3 linked regions of the Tribolium castaneum genome follow. The main gene of each other region encodes a partner of the protein of the gene in region 2 in a complex. Links are inferred from orthologs where the notes say so. Each region holds a gene or a part of one and is shown on either strand. Other genes may lie near its edges.

Region 1 (4,278 bases), on a different chromosome or scaffold from region 2:
TTTAAATTTTATGGCGAGTTTTAAGCGTCCCAAAGTTTGTTGTTCGCCCAAAACCCATGAAGGATTTTTTTCGTCGTAGTTCAACAGAATCATTAATTCTTCTGAGGTTTTTACATGGTCTAGGAGCAAAGCTGCGAAATTTTCCACAACAGTTCGCATGTTCTACAAGTGAGTGAGGTGAAGTTGGGTTTAGAAAAAAAATAACTTACGTTATATTCGGCTCGAAATTCGGTTTCTAGTCGACTGAGACGTCTCAAGTCGCCCGAAAGTTCGAAAGCAGTAAATAGAGGGTCAGTGGATGAGAGGGAAATGAGTGAAGGGGATGTTAGAGCTTTGTAGGAGTTGATCCGAGCTTGAGAATGTCGTAAAGAGTCACTTTGGTTTGAGCAAACGCATTCGTCACAACCACATCTTAAAAATTAATCAGGAAAAAAATTAAAAAAAATTTTCGAACGTTTGAACCGAGAGGCCGAATTAATTGTACAAATTTTAAAAAGTTGAGAAGAAAACAAAAACAATTCAACAAAAAAATTCATAAATCAAAAACTAAAAGCCGTAGAGCAAAACGGTTTGTTCCAGTGAATTCAGCGGCTCATTTTCTGTATTATACTAACTTTTCACGAGATTTAAAATTTTGAATTATTTTGCTTAAAATTTGCTTAATACACTTACTTACCTTCAAAAAGGTGGAAAAATTATTTTTTTTTAAACTTGTCCTATTATAGTTTTTTGGACTTTTATATGCTTTTACATCCCTCTAGAGTTGTTAAAAGTCCACAAAAAGTGAAATATTCGATTTTTTTATGTTTGATTTTTTCAATTTTCGTCGTAATTTTTGTCGATTTTGGGTACCCGGAACATGTGTCGAGCAATAGCTCCGGAACTATCAGAGATAATCCCATGAAGTGTATTATCGTTGGAAAGCTCTTTAGATTATCTATTTTTTTCAAAAAAGATTAATGTTCTCTGACTTATAGTTTTCGAGCAAATTGCTGACAAATGCAAAAATTGGTGAAATTTTAAAAAATTCATAACTAAAAAACTATTCGGAATTTGGTAATTTTCTCGATGCCAATCGATTCCCCGGATCATTTTGCATAGATATGGATCAAAATAGTTCCACATTTTAAAATAGTTTAACCGTAAATGAGAAAATAAAAAAATTAAAAAAAAGTTAACACCCCCCCCTTAAAATCGGTCAATTTTAAAAATGTCTCAAAGTCAAATAAAACCTATTCTATCTTATAGATTTTGATGTGCTCTTTCTGATGGAAAAAAGCGTTTTCTCCTAGTTCTTTTAGTTTGGCCGTAATCGGCGTATGAAAATTGAATTTTTTTGCGAGATATCGCCTTGAGTCCTATGCCATTTTGTAGAGTTTTTTATTCCGGTTGTCCACGATTTTTCCGTTTTTCGATAACTCTAATAGTTTGGCCGTAATTGGCGGTTGAAAATTGAAAAAAAGTGAAAATAGAAACATTTTTTGCGTTTTTCTCGGAAACTGTAAGACTTAGAGCAACGAGCAAAAAACCATCTGATAGCGCTTAATTTTATTTATTTTTTCGACCAAACCCGGAGCCCCTCCGGGCAACGGTTCTGGCTACAGAAGCGATCAAAGTTTTTCACTAAAAAAATTCATAAAAAAAAAACTAAAAGTCGTAGAGCATTGCGGTTGCAGTTTTTTTAAATCACTAAAGCAAAGTTTTATGCACTTGAAAACGGCTCCTCGGTTTAAACTTGTTCTTGTACAATCTCTCATTTTGCGCAAAACAGACTAAGAGAATTACCAAAAAAAACACCAAATTAAGTCGAAATTAAGCACATTTTTCTAGTCAAAAAATCAGAAATTTCGACCTAAATAGTGTAATTTTTCATTTTTCAATTTAATTACTTGACATCGTGAGGCAATGGAAGAGTGGCTCCTCTATCCAGCAACAGCTTAATAATCTCGTAATTATTTTTATGCCCGGCTAAGACCAGAGGTGTAATATCAGGTGTAAAAGTGGCCGAACACCGTTCGACTTTTTCCCAACTGTACAAATCGCCAACTTGATGCGTCCTCTCCTCCCAATCTAAAAGCATTTCAACCGCTTCCACAAATTCCTCATTTATTGCATGAAGCAATCCATCCTGCAATTAAAATTTCGCAGCACTAAAAATAAAACTTATTATTACTTGCGATTACTTTAACGTCAATCTGCGACTCAAGGAGAAGCTTCACCAGCTCGATATTTCCATTCTCAATTGCTATAACGAACGCTGAGCGATTTAGAGCATCGATGCAGTTTATATCAAACTCTTGATCGCCCTCACCACCACCATATTCCTCAATTATCCTATTATTTTTTTCGCAATTAATTTCTTGTTTATTTTTAAAAGCAAAAAACTTAGAAAATGGAATACAAAAACAAAATTAAAAAACTCTAAAACAGCAAAGAAAAAACAAAAAAAATGGAAAACTGAAATTATAATTAATTAAAAGACCATCAACCATCTTTATTGTCATGTATACTACATTTTTTCAATAAGTAATTTAATAGAAAAAAATTAGTGTTAAAATAATATTTTATCTACCCTTGTTAAAGTGCAATTTTACCCACTCAAAACAACTGACAATGAAATATGCTATAAAAAATTACCTGCGAACTGTAGCACAATCACCCCTTTCGGCATGAAGCAAAAACGATTTTTCCACCTGACTTAACGCCCTTTCATTATTACAATCAGATCCAAACATTTTCAATCACTTGTCGCATCGAGAATACTTTCAAGTTTGTATTGACCCTCACTATTAATTGAATTAAAATGCGGGACAAAGCCAAGAGGATTACTCCCAGGAGCGTTATATAATAGGAGTTTTGAGTTGGAAAAAATCACCAAAAATTCCTTATTGGCGCAATCAATTTTCTTAGTTGCTTTATTGCATTTAAACCAATAGTAATTTTACCAAAAAGTCGGTTAGTGTAATGCACTCGTTTGGTGTAATCTAATTTAATAAAGACAATAATGTGATTAGACCATAGTTATAAGCGCTTACAAGATTATTACTAACTTATTACTCGCCCTATTTTTCTAGAGAGTAATGTGATCGCCTAAATTTGTGCAAAATGGGGGATTCGGTAAGTTTCATTAAATTTTCCCCTAATTAATTGTCTTGTGATAGGTTGATGTTGAGGCTAAAGTCACACGCAAGACCCTAATCATGCCCAACTTGCCCAAGTCACTTTCAATTGAAGAAAAAAAATATTTATTGGCCATTGAACGTGGAGACATGGCAAATGTTCGCCGGTAATGGAATAAATAATAACCACCAACACAATTTAATAAGTAACACGATTATTTCTTCCAGAATGTTGCAAAAAGCCCACCGGAAAAAATCGTTTGATATTAATTGTGTGGATAGTCTAGGACGTGGTGCTTTATCGATTGCCATCGACCAAGAGCATCTCGAAATGGTGGAACTCCTGGTGATCATGGGAGTGGAAACTAGAGATGCTCTTCTGCATGCTATTCACGTAGAGTTTGTGGAAGCTGTTGAGCTTTTGTTGGAACACGAGGAGTTGATCCACAAAGATGGGGAGCCTTATGTAAGTTTTTGTTAACTTTATTTTGCTTCATTTGAGCAAATATTTTGCAGAGTTGGCAAAAAGTTGACATCAACACTGCCATGTTCACACCTGATATCACTCCCTTGACTTTGGCCGCCCATCGAAATAATTACGAAATTTTGAAAATTTTGTTAGACAGAGGAGCGACTATTCCGATGCCACATGATATCAAGTACGACCATAAATAAAAAAATAAATAAAAATAACTAAAAATCGTAGATGTGGATGTGATGAATGTATCAAAGAATCTGAAGAGGATTATTTACGACACTCGTTAGCGAGACTAAACGAGTACAAAGCTCTGGCAAGTCCGTCTTTGATTGCACTTTCGTCAAGTGATCCGATTTTAACAGCGTTTCAATTGTCGTGGGAATTGAGGAATCTGGCGTTTGCTGAACCGGTAAGTAGATAGACAATTTTTATTCATTCATCATGCAATAACTCCGGAACTATAAAACTTAGACTAAAAGTTTTAGAATAAAAAAATTCATAACTCAAAAACTAAAAGAGCAATGCGGTTTGTTCCATTGAATTCAGCGGCTCATTTTCTGTATAAAACCAACTTTCAACGAGATCTGACATTTTAAAATTTTTTGCAAAAAATTAAAATAGGCAATTTCTATAATGAAAAATTTTATTCAATAAAAAAATTCATAACTCAAAAACTAAAAG
Region 2 (4,085 bases):
CACAACATAATCCCAACGTAATAAAGAATCGTGTTGGGTGCACTACATCGATATAAGTGAAACGTTATTACTGGTACGAATAATTTTCATTCGTATTAGCCAAGAAACTTCTGAAATCGTAATGCGCACATTACTTTTTTATTGTTTTAATTAGTTTTTGTTAATTGTATCTACGACAATAATGAAGATGCAGTCAAAGTTTTTTGGAAATGTGCTTCACTGTTGGTAATCAAAAACAACTCTAACCATAAAAAGCGAATAGACACATCGTCAAAGAGTGCTCAAGACAGTGATAGGTAGAACAGTAACAAAATAACATGCCACTAAGCACATTCCCAAAGCAAGACTACAACTGACCAGCTCGAAGCATGTGTGGCTGAGTACCGACTGAAAACTATGAGAGCTAGAGCTCGGAAATCTGCAAAGGAACACTACCAGTCATACCTTCCTGGCCTAGAACACATATCGAAATAAAACCAAAAAAAAAAGAGCTACATTCACATAAAACCCAAACGAAAATCAAAGACCCGTGATCGTCCCAAGCCTACTACACTATACCCGACAAAAATGATAAATGTACAACACACAAAACACCCGAAAAAACATTACCTTCGTAATTGACCTGACCGTCGCCGTCTATATCAGCTTCTCGGATCATTTCATCGACTTCTTCATCGGTTAACTTCTCACCGAGGTTTGTCATCACGTGACGCAATTCGGCTGCCGAAATGAAACCGTTGCCGTCTTTGTCGAATACTCGGAATGCCTCGCGAATTTCTTCTTCACTATCGGTGTCCTTCATTTTACGGGCCATCATCGTTAGGAACTCAGGAAAATCGATTGTACCATTACCTAAACACCCAAAAAACTGTGTCACCCAGAAAAATCCCACATCGAATTGTTATTTTTGGAATCGCATTACGGAAAATAATCTAATTTACTTATCCTTCGATAGTTTAGGATAATTAAAAAGGTACTAAAACTGCAAAGAACACGGCCCGAAATTGCGCTGCCACAGCAATAAATACGAAAATAACATCCTCCGAAAAACACACCAGAATTCTCCAAATAGTTGCGACCTTTGCGTCTCCAGGGAGCGCAGTAATAATCAATTTATAAAAATTTATAGCCCTTCGTATAGTGGCGGCGCCACTACGCATCCGTGTCAACATTCACGCCTTCATTGTTATAAATTAAGAAAACAGGAATTTCCGTCACTATTTGATAAACAAAACCGCAACATGAAAAAATTGGTTTTCTCCCGTTCAAACTCGACTCAGTCAAACGTTATCTTTTTTAAAACAATATCCACGTCTGAAATATTCAATACTTGTGCATTTTCATTTTCCTTCACACAGTTAGTCCGCTCTATTAAAATTCATAGCGTAATCTTAGCCTTTATGGACCATCATCGTTGGCTTAGGAGTGCGAACTGTCATTGAATAACAAATGAATGCTGTTTCGCAAATTATCTTGGGTGCCACGGGGTAATTTCATGGCTAATGCGATTCGACCGACGCTGATCTACATACAGATGGGCGATTTTTCTAGTGTCTAGCAGCGGCCTATAACCAACACTGGGTCAAATTATTAAAGTGATGTTTTATTCGATATTTTTAAGAACCGATTTCTTTACTTTTCGTCGAAATTATCTACGTTTTTTTTAATGATAAATTGTTCTAATCAATGCATAGGTGTTTTTCCGAAAGGTGAAATTACTCATGCTGTGGACATAAGTTACTCATCTTACTCAAAGTTTAGTCATTAACGTACTTTTTGAATTCGTTACCAACTTTATGATGAAAAAACTTTTGATTGGGGTTTGCTATTTAATTAATAACCGTCACAGCCAAATATCGATGACGTATTTGCGATAAGATAAGTTTGTTTCTATGAAGAATTTTTAATTGGGATTATCGAGAGTTGCGATTTTATCACCGATTGTATAGTCTATTTGAGAACAATGCAGTCCATTATCGGTTTATCAACGTTGGTAAAAAATAACCGATCAAACTGTTACACTTTGAATAGTATGTAGCGATAAAGTTTTATCTGGCAATAATTACATCATTCCGTTTTTCTTAATAAAACAAACGTTGAAGGCAAATAATCAAACTGGCAACAGATGGTCCTAACGGTCACACGGTTAAGTTGGCAATAGAAAAAAGCCCTGTCAAAACAGTCGTTTGTTTATCGAAGTCGAGTTGATCTTACCATCGGCATCTACTTCATTGATCATATCCTGGAGTTCTGCCTCCGTGGGATTTTGTCCTAGTGATCTCATAACAGTTCCTAATTCTTTGGTAGTGATCGTGCCATCGCCGTCCTTGTCGAACAGCGAAAAAGCCTCTTTGAACTCGGCGATCTGCTCCTCGGTGAGTTGGTCAGCCTACAAGCCATCAGAAAGTAAACACCCCAAGCAACAGATCGATACAAGTCCCCAGCGTCGAAATTTAGCAATACCGTCGAAAATAGCCGTCGAAATTGAATTTGTCCGCATTGCGGTAAACCAATTTACCGGTTTACGGCAACTGACAGCTATTTGCGAAAGCATCACAAACCAGAAATATCCGCGCGAAGCGCGACCATCCGCAGCCCCGCGCCCCAAAGCCGCCCTTCGGCCGCCTCCGGCCCACTTACCATGGCTGTATTTCCGGTAAAAAGGGCACTCTAAACAATTCTTTGCCACGAAAACAACTGTCACTTGCGACTTTTCGCGTCAAAGTGCACCAGCCAACTGTCTGCGTCTGTGTCTTTTCTCGTTTTGTTTAGGATGGGAGGGTGGAGGGGCTGCGAAAGCACTACCGCCAAAGCGCAATAGTGCGGCTACGACACCAACGAGTAAATATTCCTACGCCCAGCCCGCCCCCACCGAGGCCCCCCGCGGGCCCCCAGCGCCACAAAAACCCCCCCAAACCTCGCGAGAACCCGCCACAAGCCCCCACAAAGACGCTTTTTCAAAATTGAGCCCCCCAAAGCCGCAAAGCCCCGGATCTAGTTTTGCGCGCGGAGAGTCCGCCACGTTTGAATGTCGGGCGCGGCTTGTTTACAACGTACTTTCGTACGGAGCTGCGTTCCCATTGGTCGATATGTACCTGCAATGCGTCAAGCAAGCCGTGCACGCGGTGGTTCAAGTAACGGCGTGATGCGTCGGATTCGGGGCGACGCTGCTCGGGTGCGGCAGTGGCGCACCGACGAAAAACAAAGGAAACGCCCCCTGATTGGGGCCGGGAAGCAGTTCGGCGAAGGGCTTTGGGGCATGAGGTGTGTGAGGGTCCGAAAACGATCGCCTTTTTTTTCGCAAATTGACAGCCATAGCACGCTGCGCAACTTGGCGTCTAATTCAATTAATGCATTCGGGAAGGTGCATATACAGGGTGGTGTGGAAACAAGGCGTTGGATCAATAAGTATTTATTGCGTCTTGAGATACTTGAACCACGATAAATAGCAAGGGTTTTGAAAATTTGAATGCAGAAGGCGTGATGGGAATAATAAAACAAATTAATAACTAGAAGTTTTTTATTCAGTTAAAATTTCTACATAATTGATCCACAATTTGAAATTTTTCGTGACCTTGATATTGGTTCAGTAAATTTCACCCGTGCGTAACAGTCGCGTGACATAATTTCTGACTGGAACTGTACCATGAGTCACTTTATGCAAAATAAATATTGCCAACTTTTTTAGATGTGTTTAGTAAAACAATGACACATAGATTAACTGAAATTTTTTCCGCATTTTCTTTTTTTTTAATAAAAATTGTTAGAAAAAAATTGAGTCGTTGCTAAAAAGATTTACATTATCGTCAGTTTAATACTCCAAACTGGCAATATTGGTCGGTGACGTCACATGCCCATAACAATTTGAAGGGAGTTCTAAAAGATCGTAATGCAAATGCTTGAAAAACAGTTTTATTGTCGGAAGTCTGTTATTAAAAATTTCATCAAGGTTAATATTAAAGTTCAGGATAATGCAATTTCGTGTTTTATGAGATGTTTACTCTTGTCGGTAGTTTTACCATAAGGAAAATATTTGTGCAGGAATCTGTAGAGCACTTCGGGATCTTTAAATTGATAAGATTATC
Region 3 (4,222 bases), on a different chromosome or scaffold from region 2:
TTGAAGCGCAGCGTACTAACAGACAGGCCCTGTCTCAGTGCTAAAAGTCGAAAGCTCACTCACATTACTTATTTAATTTAAAAGCAGTGGCATATTCAAAGCTCCCTATTGAAAAAATCCGTCACACCTTGGCAACTTTCGAAGCTTAAAAGTTGTAGCGTTCGCTCAGGTTGATTTCTTTTTTATAAAAAAATCCCTTCTTGCGTGAACTGGGACGCTACGAAGATCCCCTTTTACCAAACGCCAACTCCAGGAGAATAAATTGAATCAAATATTCAAATTGTAGACGCTATCTCAAATAATCCAACATTTTGCCATGTCATCGTAAAAACGACATCATTTGTTTACGTTTTGTAATTTGGCGCATATTGGCTTACTCGTCGTCAGGTTGTCAGCACTGCATCCGTTAACTCTCGAAAATTGAATTCGTCGTTCGGATACAACCATCTATTTATCTGTTTTTGTGTACAGAGCGCCAAGACATCCTCTAATGCACGTCTGGGACGCAAATTAAGTTTTATTTAGCCCCAGCAAGGCTTTGAGCTTTATATTGTTTAATGCGAGAATTTGGTCCAGATTATGACGCTACCAACAGTTCATTTGATGCAACATGTGAATATTAATAGCTGAGTTGTTTAGATATTGAAACAGAAACTAAAATTTGAGTCACATTTAAGCCGGGATAATTTTAAATATGTTAATACGGAATTTTTATGTAAATTCTTGCTGAAAGGACTTTAGTAATCCTTTGTGTCTGGCAGGAACGTGCTTTCTGAAATTAAATGTAATTTTCATGCATAAGTTGAACGGAAGAGCAACTTACTATCTTTGAGAGTTGTAACTTTGTTAGCCGATAAGTACTCACAATATTTTTCATGTATATGGCAAATATGTGATTTGCTTGTGAGGTTGCAGACATAAAATACGGTGGGATAAAAGCAAAGTCTCTTTCAGTTGCGGATTTTTGCCAATTTTAGTATAAAAATTGCTCGGAGGGATTTGGTTTTTCAAAGACAATCAAACACAATTCCATCTCAATGTTAACAGGATGTGCTAAAAACACTCGTGGGTGTGCAAGATTTCGCAATCGGATAATAGCACAATGCGTTTATTCTGTAGCAAGTCTAAGGGGTCCATGGTTTTGAAAAGACCCAGTGACGCCCCTGATTCGAGCCCATCCAGCCGCATAATGGGTCTTTTGTATCTCAATCCATCTGAATGTAGGTTTGTTTCAAAGGCTGAGATAATTCATTTAAGCGAAATCCAGTCATAAAACTCGCGTTAAATCACGGAAATTTACATTATTTATTTTTAAAGACAAAGTGCGATTTGATTGGGAAAGCTATTTTCGGGGGAATACAAAATCGAGAGTTTATATGGGAGTGCGTCTGAAGCGCGTTTATCAAAATAGATGTTTCGATTCCGTTGGCAAAAATTAACTCGGGAATGGGATTATGCTCAGGATCAAACGTGCGAGAATTTAATATTCGCAATAAACGGCCGGTTTACAAGCGCTGCAAAAATGTAACAACTGGGTTACCTCTTGTTGGTCCTTGACCGTTTTGTCCTTTACCCTTTCTTAAAGTGGCTCAAGCTTCGGTAAACATGTTTCCAAACAGCTTACATATTTGTATAAAACATTTATTACAAAACTTCGCTTTTATAAATTTATGCCTTGTCGATAAGCAGTCCTGTAAAAATATTCATCACATTTATCTTTCCCAAGGACGGCTGAAGCGTTTTACGTAAAAATTTCGTTTTACATGGGATGATTTTTTACGATGAGTTGTACGTGCACAATTTATTCCAGTTATTTTTCTAACCACGCAGGTTGAGAATAAGCAAAATTACTTTTTAAGCTTTAAAATTATGACAAATAATTTATACTCGGACTGAGCTAACAGGCAAAAAATAAAAACCTTCTTTTTGATTTTTTTTTACTAAAGAGTTTGGGCTCGTTCCACAAAATTTGTATGAAAGACATTCCCTTCATACATTAAGAACGGTTTTCCACACACAACACAATCTTGTTTTTGTTTGCGCTAAGTTTGATCGATTGCAGGACAAAGCGTTCAGCAATTCATGACCTCTCCAATTAAAGGGCAGTTTCAAATTTTTAAACTGAAAGGAAATTGATAATATTAATTTAGAGCGAAGTCATCAGCACGTTTACGAATTCGTCAATAACTAAAATCGATGTCGAATGAGTGTTGAATATAAACAAGCTTGTCCAGAGCTTTGTTGTAAAAAATGTGTAGTGGCGTCAAAAGCTGATATAAAACAATATCGCGCTCTTAATTATTAACACCCACCTAAAAAACTGAACGTAAACAAAAAACTGATGAATCTTGCACCGATATTCGGTGGTGAAATCAATATTGGCCCGCGGTTAACGAATTTCAGGTGCGAGTTATTACTCAACCTGAGACAGGATGCAGTGTCCAGTAGAAAATTGGGCGAGTATTTCTAAATTTATACCCCGACATCAGCTGATTGTACGTTATTTTTAAAAGCGTCAGAATTGATCCGGTTAGATTTTCATATTAGGGTCAGTTTTATTATATTTAGAAGAAACTTGAGAAAGTCGAAACTTTTTCGAAAAATTCAGCATCGAAAGCTCGTTGCGCCATATGTCAGAAAGGGTGATTTAAAGCTTACCACGTGATAACCGATGTTAGAAAAGTTGTGTCACGTCGTATTTGTAAGATAAGAATTTACGCGATGCTGTTGGCTCGCTAGCCCACCGACGCTAACTGACGCTTTGCGTCGTGACGCTTACCAACTTTTTAAAGCACTGCGGCGCCTAAGTAGCAAGCGCAAGCGTTCCGAAATTTTCACTTTTCGCCCTTAATCGAAAAAAGATCGATATTGGGGATTCACAGGAATGCAAGGAAGTGTCCTCCGCCAGGAAATTCCAACATACATCTCCAAATTGTATTTAAAATATTTAATCCTGAAAAATATTTCTGTGTAGCATTCGCAAACTAATTAAATTCCTGTTTAAGTAAACTGGACTAATTAAAAATATAAATTTTGTTATCAGCTGAATTTTGAATAAATAACATCCCGCTTTCATGTTGTTTTAATTGAATTTACTTCGACACAGAGATAAGTGGGACGTATTTTTGAGATATGATCACAGAGAGAAAGGACCGGAAAGAACAAAGTGATTCAAAATATCTTAATGAACTTAAAATCGTCGCTGAAAAGGAAATATAAATTAGAGAAAGATGTTATTTATGAATTCACAACTTTATTGCTTTACTGCAGCTAAATCGAATTTGTTTCTGACATTTGCGTGGCGAAGCAAATTTAAGTCAATAATGATCGTAATTAAATAATTTTATGTAGCCTTGACAAAACACTACTGCAGTGGTCGTGTTATCCTGAATAAAGCTAAAATTTGGTTCGTAACTTTTTGGGCCTTTACTATTACAACCTGGTATTGAGATGAATGGCTGGCCTTTTGTAAGTAGGGTATATTGATCGAAAATAGAAAGGTGAAAGGACACACTGGAGTCCATAATCTATACGAGAGGTGATAACAAGCGTTCTTCCTAAACAATAGAGTACAACAACGTAATTGTTCTAAATTTCAGCAAAAATTTCAACTGCTTTGAAATCACACAGTAGAGTAATTAAAGAGAGTACGAATTAGGCTTTCGAGAAATCTTGTTATTAAAAATTGTCGTATTTCGGTTTTAATTAAAATATAATTCACAGGGAATAATCCTCTTTCTGCATAATATTATCCGCGAAAAATGAGCTCATATACCATGCAAGTGTGCTTCTCTGAGAAATTCAAGGTAAGTACAGACTTCCAGGTTTACGTATTAAAATTTAATTCGTTACAAAGTTTAGATACTTGGGAGAGCGAACAGTGAGTACAAAATCAGTCTATTGGTTTATTCTGTCGTAACATGAGGAAAAGTTGGAGGTGACCGGATCTAATTAAGAAAAATAAACTTTTCTAAATTCAGTGTTTATTTTTTTATTTTCATATTTTCGCAAAACACTCGACTTGAGTGTCGTAAAGCATGAATAAATTTTCTAAATTTTTAGATAAAACTAGAAATAGGAATGTCGCCTCTGAACATAAATATAAATCGGTGAGACAGCTTATATTGACATCGACACTGAAATAAATCTCACAATAACAGAAGTTTTTCCACATTTTTATTGCCTTTCGTGTAGACAGGTGCTGAAAAAATTAGCAAACTTA

The links. The genes of interacting proteins can lie anywhere in the genome.
Region 1: the proteins of Cam (region 2) and trp are in contact, whole or in part, in a crystal structure (PDB 7CQV), measured with the Drosophila melanogaster proteins. The link is inferred for Tribolium castaneum from reciprocal best matches to the Drosophila melanogaster genes Cam and trp. Residues at the interface, in NP_001246276.1 of Drosophila melanogaster: Glu12, Ala16, Leu19, Phe20, Lys22, Leu33, Val36, Met37, Ser39, Leu40, Gln42, Glu48, Asp51, Met52, Glu55, Val56, Ile64, Phe69, Met72, Met73, Lys76; in NP_476768.1 of Drosophila melanogaster: Gly804, Lys805, Met807, Glu808, Arg809, Ile811, Leu812, Asp814, Phe815, Gln816, Ile817, Val820, Glu821, Lys824.
Region 3: the proteins of Cam (region 2) and rdgC are in contact, whole or in part, in a crystal structure (PDB 8ZLW), measured with the Drosophila melanogaster proteins. The link is inferred for Tribolium castaneum from reciprocal best matches to the Drosophila melanogaster genes Cam and rdgC. Residues at the interface, in NP_001246276.1 of Drosophila melanogaster: Glu12, Glu15, Ala16, Leu19, Phe20, Leu33, Met37, Leu40, Met52, Glu55, Val56, Phe69, Met72, Met73, Arg75, Ser82, Glu84, Glu85, Ile86, Glu88, Ala89, Val92, Phe93, Ile101, Leu106, Val109, Met110, Leu113, Glu115, Lys116; in NP_788546.1 of Drosophila melanogaster: Asp2, Glu3, Asn4, Ala5, Ile6, Arg7, Ala8, Ala9, Ile10, Phe11, Ile12, Gln13, Lys14, Trp15, Tyr16, Arg17, Arg18, His19, Gln20, Arg23.

The regions. Positions count from the first base shown.
Region 1 is NC_087402.1:543,210-547,487, forward strand, and holds the start of trp (transient receptor potential protein), read right to left. Parts: upstream 2,801-4,278; 5' UTR 2,736-2,800; coding exon 2,638-2,735; intron 2,335-2,637; coding exon 2,184-2,334; intron 2,129-2,183; coding exon 1,890-2,128; intron 412-1,889; coding exon 210-411; intron 163-209; coding exon 1-162. Other genes in the region: trpl (transient-receptor-potential-like protein), read left to right, coding at 3,106-3,117, 3,162-3,286, 3,348-3,585, 3,636-3,778, 3,826-4,006. UniProt on the Drosophila melanogaster protein: A light-sensitive calcium channel that is required for inositide-mediated Ca(2+) entry in the retina during phospholipase C (PLC)-mediated phototransduction.
Region 2 is NC_087397.1:1,844,412-1,848,496, forward strand, and holds the start of Cam (calmodulin), read right to left. Parts: upstream 2,801-4,085; 5' UTR 2,644-2,800; coding exon 2,641-2,643; intron 2,390-2,640; coding exon 2,215-2,389; intron 853-2,214; coding exon 610-852; intron 1-609. UniProt on the Drosophila melanogaster protein: Calmodulin mediates the control of a large number of enzymes, ion channels and other proteins by Ca(2+). Among the enzymes to be stimulated by the calmodulin-Ca(2+) complex are a number of protein kinases and phosphatases.
Region 3 is NC_087402.1:8,853,186-8,857,407, forward strand, and holds the start of rdgC (serine/threonine-protein phosphatase rdgC), read right to left. Parts: upstream 2,801-4,222; 5' UTR 2,659-2,800; intron 1-2,658. UniProt on the Drosophila melanogaster protein: Phosphatase required to prevent light-induced retinal degeneration.